Caenorhabditis elegans: one gene and its partner. The protein of the gene in region 1 purifies or fractionates together with the protein of each later gene. This does not show direct contact. Each region holds a gene or a part of one and is shown on either strand. Other genes may lie near its edges.

Region 1 (5,065 bases):
CCAAAATTATTGATGTTTCTTTCCAAATATTTGTCTAAAACAGATTACGATTACCATTTATTTAAAACAACATTATTTTTTTAACACTTTGAAACTGTAGTTTTTAAGTTGCATGTCCTGGTTCGATTTCTATTTATGAAAGGACAGGAAGCATTTTATCTCAAAGCATAGAATCCATGTGTTTATTCAACAAAAATAATCACATTATTAACATCGGTTTCTATTTTAGAGTTTCTACATACCCGGATTCTGTTTTACCAGACGAAATAGTCACAGACTGATTTGTACTTCTGAACATATTTAACAAAACATCCACTGTTTCAGTAAGTTTACAAGAATAATGCTTTTTACTAGTCTTTACTGACAACGGCTTTGTGAGAAAAATAATTTTAGATTTTCAAATATTTTAGAGATTTTATGAAGCAAGTTTTTCTTCGAGGAAAACGTGAGAAACGAGTATTTCCAGTACAAAAAAATCTAGTTACATGATGAATAAAATTAATATCTCATTACCAGTGATCATTGTTTTTTTTTAACATTTTGAAACGGTAACTTTTTTTTAAATTTTGCTTGTTTCCTGAATTTCACACAAAATCCCTCCCGGCTCGATTGCAATAAATAATATGAAAAAGAATTTATTTTACATATTTTGTCTACCTTTCTGTTTCTGCTTTCCTTCTACATCAGAAGTGATCATTTTTATTTTATAACATTTTGAGAAACTGATACTGTAAGGTAGTTTCAATTTTCGAGTGATCATTGCTTACAAATCTCAAAATATCAGTTAAAAAATTATGATTTTAATTTAATTCAAATTGTTATAAAGTACGATTTTTATTAGAATAACGGACGCCGGATATCTGGAATCCGTTTTACAAGACAAATCGGACTCTAGTCTGGCTTGTAGCCCTGAATCTGATTAACAAAATTATCCACTGTTTTAGTATGTTTAGAAAAAAATGGGGTGTAGAAACTTTTCATTCCTGTTTTGAATCGGCTGCAGTGTATGAATATTTTCCAAGATTCTAAAATTTCAATATTGAAATAGTCCTCGGTAAATTTTTGTGAACATTTTTTTTTGAATGAAAAACTTTATAAAAATTACTACTGCAAATTTTTGTGTGCCTTCAAAAACATAAACAATAAAATTTATAACTGTCTCTGCTAACACCAATAAACTGTATTTTTATAAATTTCTTTTTGAAACCAACCGAAAAAACAATCTAACATAAACATAAATTACAACACATTATTTCAAAAAAACAAACTAGGAAACCGTATTTTTTGTGTTCTCTCGGAATTTCCAAAAAAAAGTCTCTCAAATTTTAATAATTTTAACGGGTTTTCAAAGCACTCTAATATCAATTTTTCCAATTTTGAAATTCTTGTTCATCCATTTCATATTTTTTCAAACTTCCCATCATCAAAAAAACACCGTTAAAGTTTCAGTTTTAACCTTTTACCAACTTACCACCTACTGTGAATTCTGTCAACATTTACCATCTCAAGGTTGGAATACAACTTGATTGATGAGGGCAGGTGTGGTCAATGATATCGAAAAAAATTCAAAACAAAATGAAAACGTGTTACTACTACCACACCCCGTTTTTGGACCAAAAAAATACTATTTATAAAATTTTATATGTTTTTTTTCTCACAGTGTATACAAATGCGCTCATTAGAAAAAATTTTTAATTCATTTTTGAAATGGAGATAGTGAAACAGTAAATTTATCCTATCAAAAATTGAATATAATATAACGAAAATTTTACTGTTTTAACAAGTTTTAAATTACAAAACCAATACCTTTTATTTTCCTCTTAATATCCACAATTTCCCTTTACAAGATAACTATAAACTTTTCAACTTCTTATAGCTATCAAATTTGTTTGGAAAACTTTCATGTTTCATTATAGTGTGAAAATTATCAAATTCCCAAAATTCTTTGATCAACTAGTAAAACATTTTTAAAAATCAAGTTCAAATCCTTACAAAATTCCAGTAATGATTCTCCACTCCCTGATTCTTGTTTCTGCGGTGTCTTTGGTCTCCTCACTGGACACTACAAAAACCATGACGTCACAGCTACACGAGTTCCAAATGAACAACTCGGCCGGTGTAATGTCTGCATTGGAAATGTTACCAAAGGTATGGTCAACGGGGGAATGTGTGTAGAAATTGGATAGAATTTTCGAAGAAAAAAAAAAGTAAAATGAGAAAAAAATATTAACTGTTTCTATTAGTTCAGAAATACTCAAGACATAACTTTTGTCTCATTCATTTAAATTTTATGATTAATCAATGTATATTTTTGTAAAATTCGTCCGAAATTTCCCAGTTTTAGGAATGCTCCAAAAACGGCAAAAAATACCAACCTAACGAGGAATTTGAAATTGGAAATCTTCGATACAAATGCCAAAAATACGGCGTTTACACAATTGAAGGATGCAAGAGAAAAGATGGAACTACAATGAAATTGGGGGAATCTGCGGTAGTGGACAACGTGAAGCATCAGTGCCTTGGAATGGGTTCATCGGTTTTTTATAAGGAAACTGTGAGTTTTTGGGGATTAGAAAATGGTTTATTGCAAGAGTTTTGGAGGGTTTCATCCAATTCTTCAAATATTTAGACCTCTGATGTTAAACTCTCAATTTTTAAAATAATTTTTAACTATGTTTCAAAGCACTTATGTTATTTATCTGAAACTGAAAGCCAAAATATAAAAATTTATGTGAAGATAGATTGGCCGTCACATTTTTACGCAGTTTCAGACAAACCCATAAAAATATAGACTTTCAATTTTTTATACTCCAGAATCATCACAAACGGTCCTAAACTAGTTCCATAATACTTCAATACCATTTACTGTAATCTTGTAACAGTAAAAATTTTACGTTTCTCGGATTTTACTGTAGAAGTAAATTTTGATAAGTTGAAGTTTTTAAAACACAACGGTCAATAATTTTTACAGGTTTAATATGGCAATTTTTTCTAAAATAATTCTTGTTGAGCCAACATAGAAGCGTTTAAAACAATTTTCGCAAAGAAATTGCTGTAACTTTACCGTAAAAAGCATCAACGTGTTGGAGCATCAACTAATTTTTCAGGGTTACGAATATTAAAAAAACTACAAAAACCACTATTTTGAGATAATAAATTAGTTAATGTGTTTTTTTCTGTGGTTTTTATTACATAAAAATGTGTCAGTTGGAAATGTTTAATATCTTTTCGTTCAACAATTATCAACATGTCAAAACAGCGGAAATTTTTTTCGATACAAATTATTTTTTTGTTAAATATTTCTTCAACTCGTCCTTTTAAATATCATAAATTTTGAGAAATCGAAGCTTTATCGAAAAAATATTCATATTTCAATGTATGTTAAACGGTATGCCTTGAAATTTTTTTTACTGTTTCAAGTTCTCAATATCACAACAGTTTCATGAATAGCATCATTGGTGCATGGCGTGGCTTTGTTAAAAAAAAGTATTACCTTCAGACATGTGGAGTGATGGGAATGCCAGAATGTGACAAAGTTCCATTGCCAAAAGGATTTGAAGCAGCAATGAAGAAACACGGAGAGAAAAATGAAGTTCCGGTAGGTTTTGAGAATATTGGAATTGGGAAATAGCTTTTTTTCAGCAAAAAATATTTTATTTTGTGAAATTTAATATTTTTGGAAATGCGATTTAAAAAACGAAAAATACAAAATGGAAACCGTCATGAGATTAGTATCGGTTCATTTTCTATAATTAAAAAAACATAGTGAAACATGATAAACTTGGCAAAATATTTCATAAAGTCACATATTTCAAATAAAGCTTCCAAATGAATTAGACTTTCTTAAAATGTCTAAAATTCCATAAGTTATATTGTTCAGGGAAAAACCAATGTTGATGGTGTGGACTTGCCAAAGGGATGGTCATTGGTTGATGGTGGAAAAAAGCCAATAACTGGAACAAATGCATCAGTTGTTACTCATATTCTGATGTTCAATCCAACACAACTCAGAGCAAAAAGAGGTGGATTCAAGGGGGCGGGAGTTGGAAGTGTCATTGGGGGTTTGTTTTTTTAAAATAATTTTCAATGAAAACTCGACAAAGAGAACAATTGAGTTTTCGTAAACTTTTCCAGATTTATAAACTATTTGAAACAGTAGTTACTGTTTTTTTTTCAAAATTGGTTTTGCTTATCAAATTCTTCATTTTTATGTCAATTTAAAATAGTGGAGAGCAGCAATTTCTGCATGTCGAACCATTTTTTTTTCAAAACTGATATTTCCGAAAATATCTAGTGGGAATTTTTTTTCTTTTATAAACAAGGAACACTTACAACTGAGAATTTTGAACTTTTCTTAAAATTATCTATGTTTACTTTTCGTTATGTTTTGGAAATAAGTATGACTACACTTTGCAGTTTAAATTCGTTTTTAGAACGTGGCAATCAGACCTGTGTGGCATTCGGCATTCGGCATATGCCGATGCCGGCATAATGCCGGTTTTTGGAGCACGGCATATGCCGTTATGCTGATTTGAAAATTCACGGCATATGCCGAAAATGACGTTATGCCGAAAAATAAAATGACCGGCATAACGGCATAATGCCGACATTATGACGGCATTATGTCGTTTTTTCCTGCATTTTTGGCTTTGGTTTTTTTTTGTCAAAAACCATATTTTCATAATTATCCGATGAAACATAAAGATGTTTAAAGAGACTAAAACTGGTCCAAAACCACCGAATTTCATAATGAGACTTCGCAAAAAATTTTCACAAATTGCCGGTCAAATTTTCGAAAAAAAAAAAGAGCCAAATTTTGCTAAAATCTCAGTGAAAATTTCAGAAAAACAAAAATCCAGCAGCTGTGACAAAGAAAAGTGCGCGAAATTTTAGATTTTAGCAAAATTTGGCTCTTTTTTTTTTCGAAAATTTGACCGGCCATAAAAAATTTTTGGAAATTTTTTGTGAAGTCTCATTATGAAATTCTGTGGTTTTGGACCAGTTTTAGTCTATTTAAGCAAAATACCCACAAACTGTACTCCCCCTTTAACATACTTACAATTTT
Region 2 (6,893 bases), on another chromosome or scaffold:
CCAAGACTTTGGCAATACTGGGATTCGGGCCATCAAAGTTTAACCCAAGTTTCTCCCAACTCTTGCTAAACTTTGGCCCAAACTTTTTGTGTTTCGTTTCAATCTTCTGTAGAAGTTTGGCAAGAGCTGGGTGAAATTTGGGTTAAATTTTGATGTCACCTAAATCCAAGTTTTGCCAAAAAGTCTTGCCCAACTTTTGCCCAAGTTTAGTTTTTTATATAAGTTATAGCCGAATTCCTAAAAAAAACTATTAGAAAAGTGTTTAAAAAAAGAAAAAAAGTTGCAATTGATAGATTTCCAAATTTTCGGGGATCCAAGTTGCTTTCAAAAAGTATTCAATTTAAAAAAAAAATACTCCAAAGACAAAATGTTGCTAAAATTTTTTATTTGGAATAAAAACAATGATGGGGAAACATTCGAATAACATTATATTTCCGCTAATTATGAATTTGAGAAGCAAATTGCAAATATTTATGCTTAGGCGATTTTTTTAAAATTTGTTTCATCAGAAATTGAAAAAAAAAGTTTTAATAATGAAACTCCATTAGTTTTCTGAAATAATATTAAAACGTTTGGTTCAACTTGTAATTTCCATAAGTTGTGTCTTAAAAAATGTCAAACAGAAAAATTAACACTTTCACTACACAATCCAATTACTGGCTGCCATCCAAATCCAATGACCTCTTCTCATTAACTCACACCATTTGGCTACACATCGTTGTTTTCTTCCTCCATTTCTCGGCCTCTTTGTGGATACCACGCGGGGTTTTTGTGTGGTAGGAGAGAACTTAACTTGCCTCCATTTCCTCCCCCCCCCCCCCCCACTCTTTGGACACAACACAACTACTCGGTTTCTTCTGTTTTCGCTGCCTGTGTTTTCTGCGTTCCGCCTGGTCTTTCTGTTTGTGCCCCCTACATCACCACACACACACACACACACACACACTCCTCTCTTCCCATATGACCCCTGCCATTCACCCGCCGTCACTCGTTTTCTAAACACTTTGATCTTACGCCCCAAACATTTGGAACACTTTTACACTCTGAAAATCAACAAATTATTTTTTTTGTTTTGTTACTTTTTAAAAATGTTTTTTAAGTTTTAAATTTTCCAAAGAAAAATAAAGATATAGTATAGATATTTTTGAAAACTACTCACATAGTGCTAAAAATGACCGAATAAAAAAAATAAAACTTTTCAAAAAAAATTTTGAAATTTTTTTATTTACTGTCAAAAAGTGACAATTACTCAGTTTTGCCACTCATAATTTTAAAAGTCGACCAAAAAAAATGTTTTCTTATATTTTTTTTACTTTAATTTTGTTTTAATTGATCGTATTAAAACATTGTAAGGGTTGGAACATATGACATTGCTCATATTTTTTAAAGTTTTGGCAATTTGAAATTATGAAAAATTTTAAATTTTTAAATTTTTTTGAGTGTTCTATTATGATATTCGGTTGTTTTTGACAAGTGTATGTAGATCAAATCCCCACAGGCGCTATTCTTTAACTAAAATTTAGTTCCAAAATATTAAAAAAAAATTATTTAAATTTAAACATGTGAGAAAATGCAAAAAGTTGTTATAAAATTGCCAGATGCCAAAAAAAAAACGAATTTTTTTGTGAGACTTCATTTATTTTTTGAAAATTTTTCAAAACAATTTTCAATTAACATACAACAAATTTTTTTGGTTAACAGATCACTCTTCTATTATTTACGCTAAATTAAAAAAAAATTGCATTGAACCAACATGGTGCATTCCCTTTTACATTCTCTTTCTTTCATACAAGCTTACATTATATTCATCAATTTGAGTAACAAAACCCGTCGAAAAAATGCTGAAATGTCAAACAATGATTCGACCACAGATCTCCGTGAGTTTCTCCCCAAAAATATTAAATGCTGACCAAAATGACCATATAAAATTTGGACTACGGCGTAGTGTAGTCTGAATGATCATTGATAACATTCCCCCACCCGGGTCTTCCCCCACAAAACGTCTTTCACTTATCACTATAGTAACTTTTCGCAGCGTTTTGTGAGGGATTACCTGTTCCCTCAAAATTTTGAGCATTCAAAATTCATTTTGCAGCAACTAATGAAGCACAGTGTCAACGCAATGGCCGGAGGTCACGGTGCAGCCCGTTATAATTCAACAGGTGAGACTAAACCTTTTTTTCGATTGTAAATACATTGATGACGTTTCAGACCTACCAAAACTCCCGGCTCCACAACCAATTAAAACGCTGAAACACTTCCTGGACTTTGCACAAGCGTTGCAGTCAAAAAAGGAATTTCAAGAGACAAAACAGGTAAAAATAAAAAAAAACATTTGGAGCAAAACAAATGTCAATTTCAGATTGTAAATGATTTTGTGGTTAAGGATTTGCCGAAATTGCAAGAACTGCTGCAGAAACGAGCCGACGCACTTCCGAATTGGGTAAGATTTTTAACACTTTTTTCTAAAAAAAATAATTAGAAAAATAAATTCAAAACAACTTCCCCATTTATGATTAGGAGTAGTTAATTTTCAGTTTGGACCAAAAAAATAGAAATGTATCAATTAACTTTATAGGTTTAGCTTTACTGCAAACCAATGACACCTTTAAGTGTACCCTAAACCTAATTTTAAAAAGTTTGATACTAGAAAACTTTACAATATTTTGAAAATATTTAACGGCATAAGTAATACCTATCAGGTATTAGGCATAATGTTGGGCGTTTATATTAAATAATTTTTTCTTTGCAAAACAAACAATTTCTTGGAAATTGGTCCACAAAATAATCCGCCAGCCTATAAATTGAAAACATCAAAATGAAATCAAAATGTTGCTGAAAAAGTGACAGGGCCAGCGCCATAAAAATAGATTTCCAAATTTAACACATGGTTTTATAATATATCTAAAAACTAACTATCTTAAAATTGAGCAAGTTGGCGTTTTTTTACCGATTCAAACAAAAGATTTTCAGCTCACACCATGGTGGCTCAACATCGCCTACCTAGCTGCTCGTACCCCACTTCCAGTCGTCACATCTCCAGGAGTCATGTTCCCTAAATTTGACTATAACACCGAGGAGGGACAACTGGAATATGCAGCAAAAATCAGCCAAGCCGCTGTCCACTTTTACCTTCGAGCAAAAAAGTAGGCTTCTGGTTCAATTCGATGTTTTTTAGTTTTCAAAAAACATTTTTTCAGTAATCAGTTGAAGCCTGATATGGCAGGAAAGTCGCCGCTTGATATGAGCCAGTACCAGTTCTTGTTTGGAACAACTAGGGTACCTAAGGTTGGCGTAGATGAGATTAGATATGGATGTGACTATAAGGAGAAATTGCAACACATTTTAGTGATTAGAAATGGACATGTGAGTTTTTAAAAAATGTTATTTAAAAATTGTATCACTGATTCTTTATAAAGACTAATGAGGTTATTCAATTAATGTTGCAAAATGTATTTAAATACATTTATTACGTCACAACTGTATTAAAATACAAGTTTTCAAAAAATGTATTTTAATATAGTTTGCACCTAATTTTTCTACACTTTTTAATTTTTCGACACTTCTTGAATAACCCCATAAGACTTCAGTTGTTCCATCTAATTGAAGTTGAAAAAAATATTGCAAACAGATTTCAACAAAACCGTTAAAATCTCCCTACATTTTCAGCTCTTCCGCGTCCAAGTCCTAGACTCCAACGAGCAGCCACTCTCAATTTTTGCTATTACTCAGCAACTGGCAAAAGTCGTTTCAGAGAGTCAAACTCCAAACCCACATCCAGTGGGAATTGTCTCCTCCGATAGTCGCGACAAATGGGCAAATGTATACTCATCGCTGAAAAGTGAGCTTTCGAGAAAAAAAGTTTCAAGCCAAATGTAGAAGTTTTGCTTAGCTCCATTGTGAAGATTTTCTTTGAAGCTAGCTATGCTGATAATAATACTATTTTCAGAGGATAACAACAACGCGAAATCCCTGGAAGCCGTCGAAAAATCGTTGTTCGTAGTCTGTCTTGACAAAGCTAGTGAACCACCAGTTGGCTACACGGAGAAAGATGAGCAAAGTAGGCAGGCACTGCATGGTGGCGGCTCCAAAGTGAACTCGAGCAACAGATGGTTTGACAAGACTATTCAGGTGTGTTATTTAGTTTATCCACGGCGTGTCAGGCTGTCCCATTACGGTTTGATCTACAAAAAATGCGGGAATTTTTTGCCCATAAAAATTATACGTCAACACGTTCTTAACCAGACGAAATCAGTTGAGAACTCTGCGTCTCTTCTCCCGCATTTTTTGTAGATCTTTGTAGATCAAGCCGACATGAGACACTCTTACACCACGTGTTTATCGTTCATGCACTCATTTTTTTGCATTTGATCAGTAGAGCACATTTGCATTGCAATAGCAAAAAATATACCTGGAAATTTCAGTTTGTCATCGGAACAAATGGCTACACCGGAATGACGTATGAGCACACTCCAGCCGAAGGACCACCAGTCGGTGCACTCATGGATTTTATTTGTGATCAATTGTGAGTTTTTGAAATTTATAACTGATTACAAAAAAATTTGTTGAAAAACTTGAATTTGAACAGAAATTTAAAATGTTGTCTTTTTCGTTTTATCGTTGGGTCAAAAACCGGAACTGTGGCACTTTAGGTGGAGTAGCGCCAGTGGGGAACTTGTGAAAAACTACTCCTACACATGGTGCCAAAATGACCGAATATCATAATAAATCCTTTCAAAAGTTTTTTAAAATTTTTTTATTTACTGTCAAACAGTGACAGTTACTCAGTTTTTCCACATATAATTTTGGAAGTCGACCAAAAAAAAAATTTTTCCTACATTTTTTTATACTGTAGTTCTGTTTAAATAATTTGTCTTAAAACATTGCATGTGTCGTTTTTCAAAATATTGGCAGTTTGCCAAAACTTCGGCCGGAAATTATGAAAAATCGAAAAATGTTTGGAGTGTTTTATTATGATATTCTGTCGTGTTGGATCATAATAAGTGTATTCAGACCAAATTCCCACTGGCGCTACTCCACCTTTAACCATAGCAATATAAATATTTCTGATCCTACGCTTCATCAAACAAGTTTATTTAAAATGTTGCAAAAAGTATTCTGGTAGCTTGGATATCTTCAGTTAGTAACATTTAAGATAATATATCTATTATATTTCCTTCAATTTTTCAGTGATGCTAACACATTCATTACTGAAGGCACACCTTCCAACTCCCCAGTGCAACGTCTCGATATTTCCACTGACGAGGAAATCAACAAAAGAATCGCCAAGAGCTCCAAGAACATGGACAGCATCGCCGAGGACCTTGATATCGTCGCGTTCACGTTCAAGCCCTACGGAAAGAATTTCCCGAAATCCTCAAAGATCTCGCCCGACTCGTTCATCCAAATGGCTTACCAATTAGCTTTCTACCGGATCCACTCATCGCGTAAGTCAATTATCCCCCATCTTACAATTTGATGACGAATTAAATTTCCAGTTCCACCAACCTACGAGACGGCCACTTTGCGTAAATTCACCGAGGGTCGAACCGAGAACATCCGATCTCCGAATACAGCTGCAGCATCATTTGTCAAGAAGGTGTGTGTTTGTGTGTGACCTAGATCGATCACCCAATTTAACTCACTCAATTTTCAGATGGTATCTAAGCCTCCTACGCCGGTTAGTGAAATCTACGATGCACTTGTTCACGCAACAAATTCGCATAAAAAGTACACCATGGATTGTATGGATGCAGCTGGAATGGACAGACATTTATTGGCATGGAAGTTGATCGCTACTGAAAATAATCTCCCAACCCCAGAAATCTTCGGTTCCAACATCTACCAACAACTCAACCATTTCCAAGTCTCCACAAGTCAAGTTCCCACACGGCATTTCATCCAAATGTGCTTCGGACCATCTGCCCTTGATTGCTATGGAATTTGCTACAACCCACAGGAAACTGAACTTCACTTTATGATCTCAACATTCAAGAGCTACGGCTCGACGAGTTCCAAGAAGTTTGCCAAGGAACTTCAAAAGGCGCTAATTGACATGAAATCGGTTATTAATAAGGCTACAAAAGAAATGTCCAAGTTGTAGGAGATCATATTTTGATACTACTTTTTTTTAAAGAATAACATTTCACACGCCATAACTAGTGCTCCTACGTGTTCAGATCCCAATGTTTTTTTTTCTGCTTTATTGTAATTGATTGAAAATGCTTGTAGATATTTTATGAAAACATTTTATATGAATAAATAATTTGTATAATAAATACGTTTCCGTCAGAGGTGTATCACAAATATCCACGATAAATCTACAAAACATCTAATATTGGGGTGATAGCCAAGAAATAGAGAAAAAATGTGATTGATTTCAGAATTGTTTTGCTAAAATCGATAGTTTAAAATATGCTATTCCTGCCATAAAAATTGTGTGCATTTATCTAGCAGACCGATCAAAAGATTTTTGGTACAAATAAGCATATTTTACAATGAACCAACTTCTATCAAGTAACTAATATTTATTTTTTCTGTAAAAACTAGTGACAAAACTTTTGTACAGTTTAAAAAATAATTCTCAAATAAAATCAACAAAATACAAAAAAAAAAAACGAATACCCCGTGTGACAAATAATTAGAGATTTCATGAAGTTGGTGGGTGACAATTCCAATGTCTCGGGAACAAAAGGTCCACAACGGCATTGGAGTACGGGGCACAGTGTCCACGTCTCGCGTACCATTCTTGGCCGTAGAAAGCAATGAACATTCCGGTTCCTGAAAGATGGTTGTATTTTAGTGGTTTTAACATGTTCTAAAGCAATGTTCTTTTAGATTGAACACTTGATTTTTTAGAAAATTCGAAAATGTGGGTGGTATTATGTAAATGG

Evidence for each region.
Region 2: the proteins of R05A10.1 (region 1) and B0395.3 fractionate together in Caenorhabditis elegans (co-fractionation; one large-scale study listed by BioGRID). This does not show direct contact.

What each region holds. Positions count from the first base shown.
Region 1 is NC_003282.8:14,180,375-14,185,439, forward strand, and holds the start of R05A10.1 (Abnormal cell migration protein 18-like fibronectin type I domain-containing protein), read left to right. Parts: upstream 1-2,002; 5' UTR 2,003-2,004; coding exon 2,005-2,148; intron 2,149-2,277; exon of another isoform or gene 2,278-2,298; intron 2,299-2,344; coding exon 2,345-2,554; intron 2,555-2,638; exon of another isoform or gene 2,639-2,662; intron 2,663-2,809; exon of another isoform or gene 2,810-2,836; intron 2,837-3,192; exon of another isoform or gene 3,193-3,214; intron 3,215-3,456; exon of another isoform or gene 3,457-3,477; intron 3,478-3,499; coding exon 3,500-3,598; intron 3,599-3,707; exon of another isoform or gene 3,708-3,728; intron 3,729-3,880; coding exon 3,881-4,061; intron 4,062-4,089; exon of another isoform or gene 4,090-4,110; intron 4,111-4,480; coding exon of another isoform or gene 4,481-4,601; intron 4,602-5,065.
Region 2 is NC_003284.9:16,034,434-16,041,326, reverse strand, and holds B0395.3 (Choline/carnitine acyltransferase domain-containing protein), read left to right. Parts: upstream 1-2,095; 5' UTR 2,096-2,101; coding exon 2,102-2,162; intron 2,163-2,211; coding exon 2,212-2,315; intron 2,316-2,362; coding exon 2,363-2,443; intron 2,444-2,973; coding exon 2,974-3,146; intron 3,147-3,200; coding exon 3,201-3,366; intron 3,367-3,669; coding exon 3,670-3,841; intron 3,842-3,949; coding exon 3,950-4,131; intron 4,132-4,424; coding exon 4,425-4,525; intron 4,526-5,190; coding exon 5,191-5,447; intron 5,448-5,498; coding exon 5,499-5,599; intron 5,600-5,656; coding exon 5,657-6,103; 3' UTR 6,104-6,291; downstream 6,292-6,893. Other genes in the region: mboa-1 (O-acyltransferase), read right to left, coding at 6,650-6,780.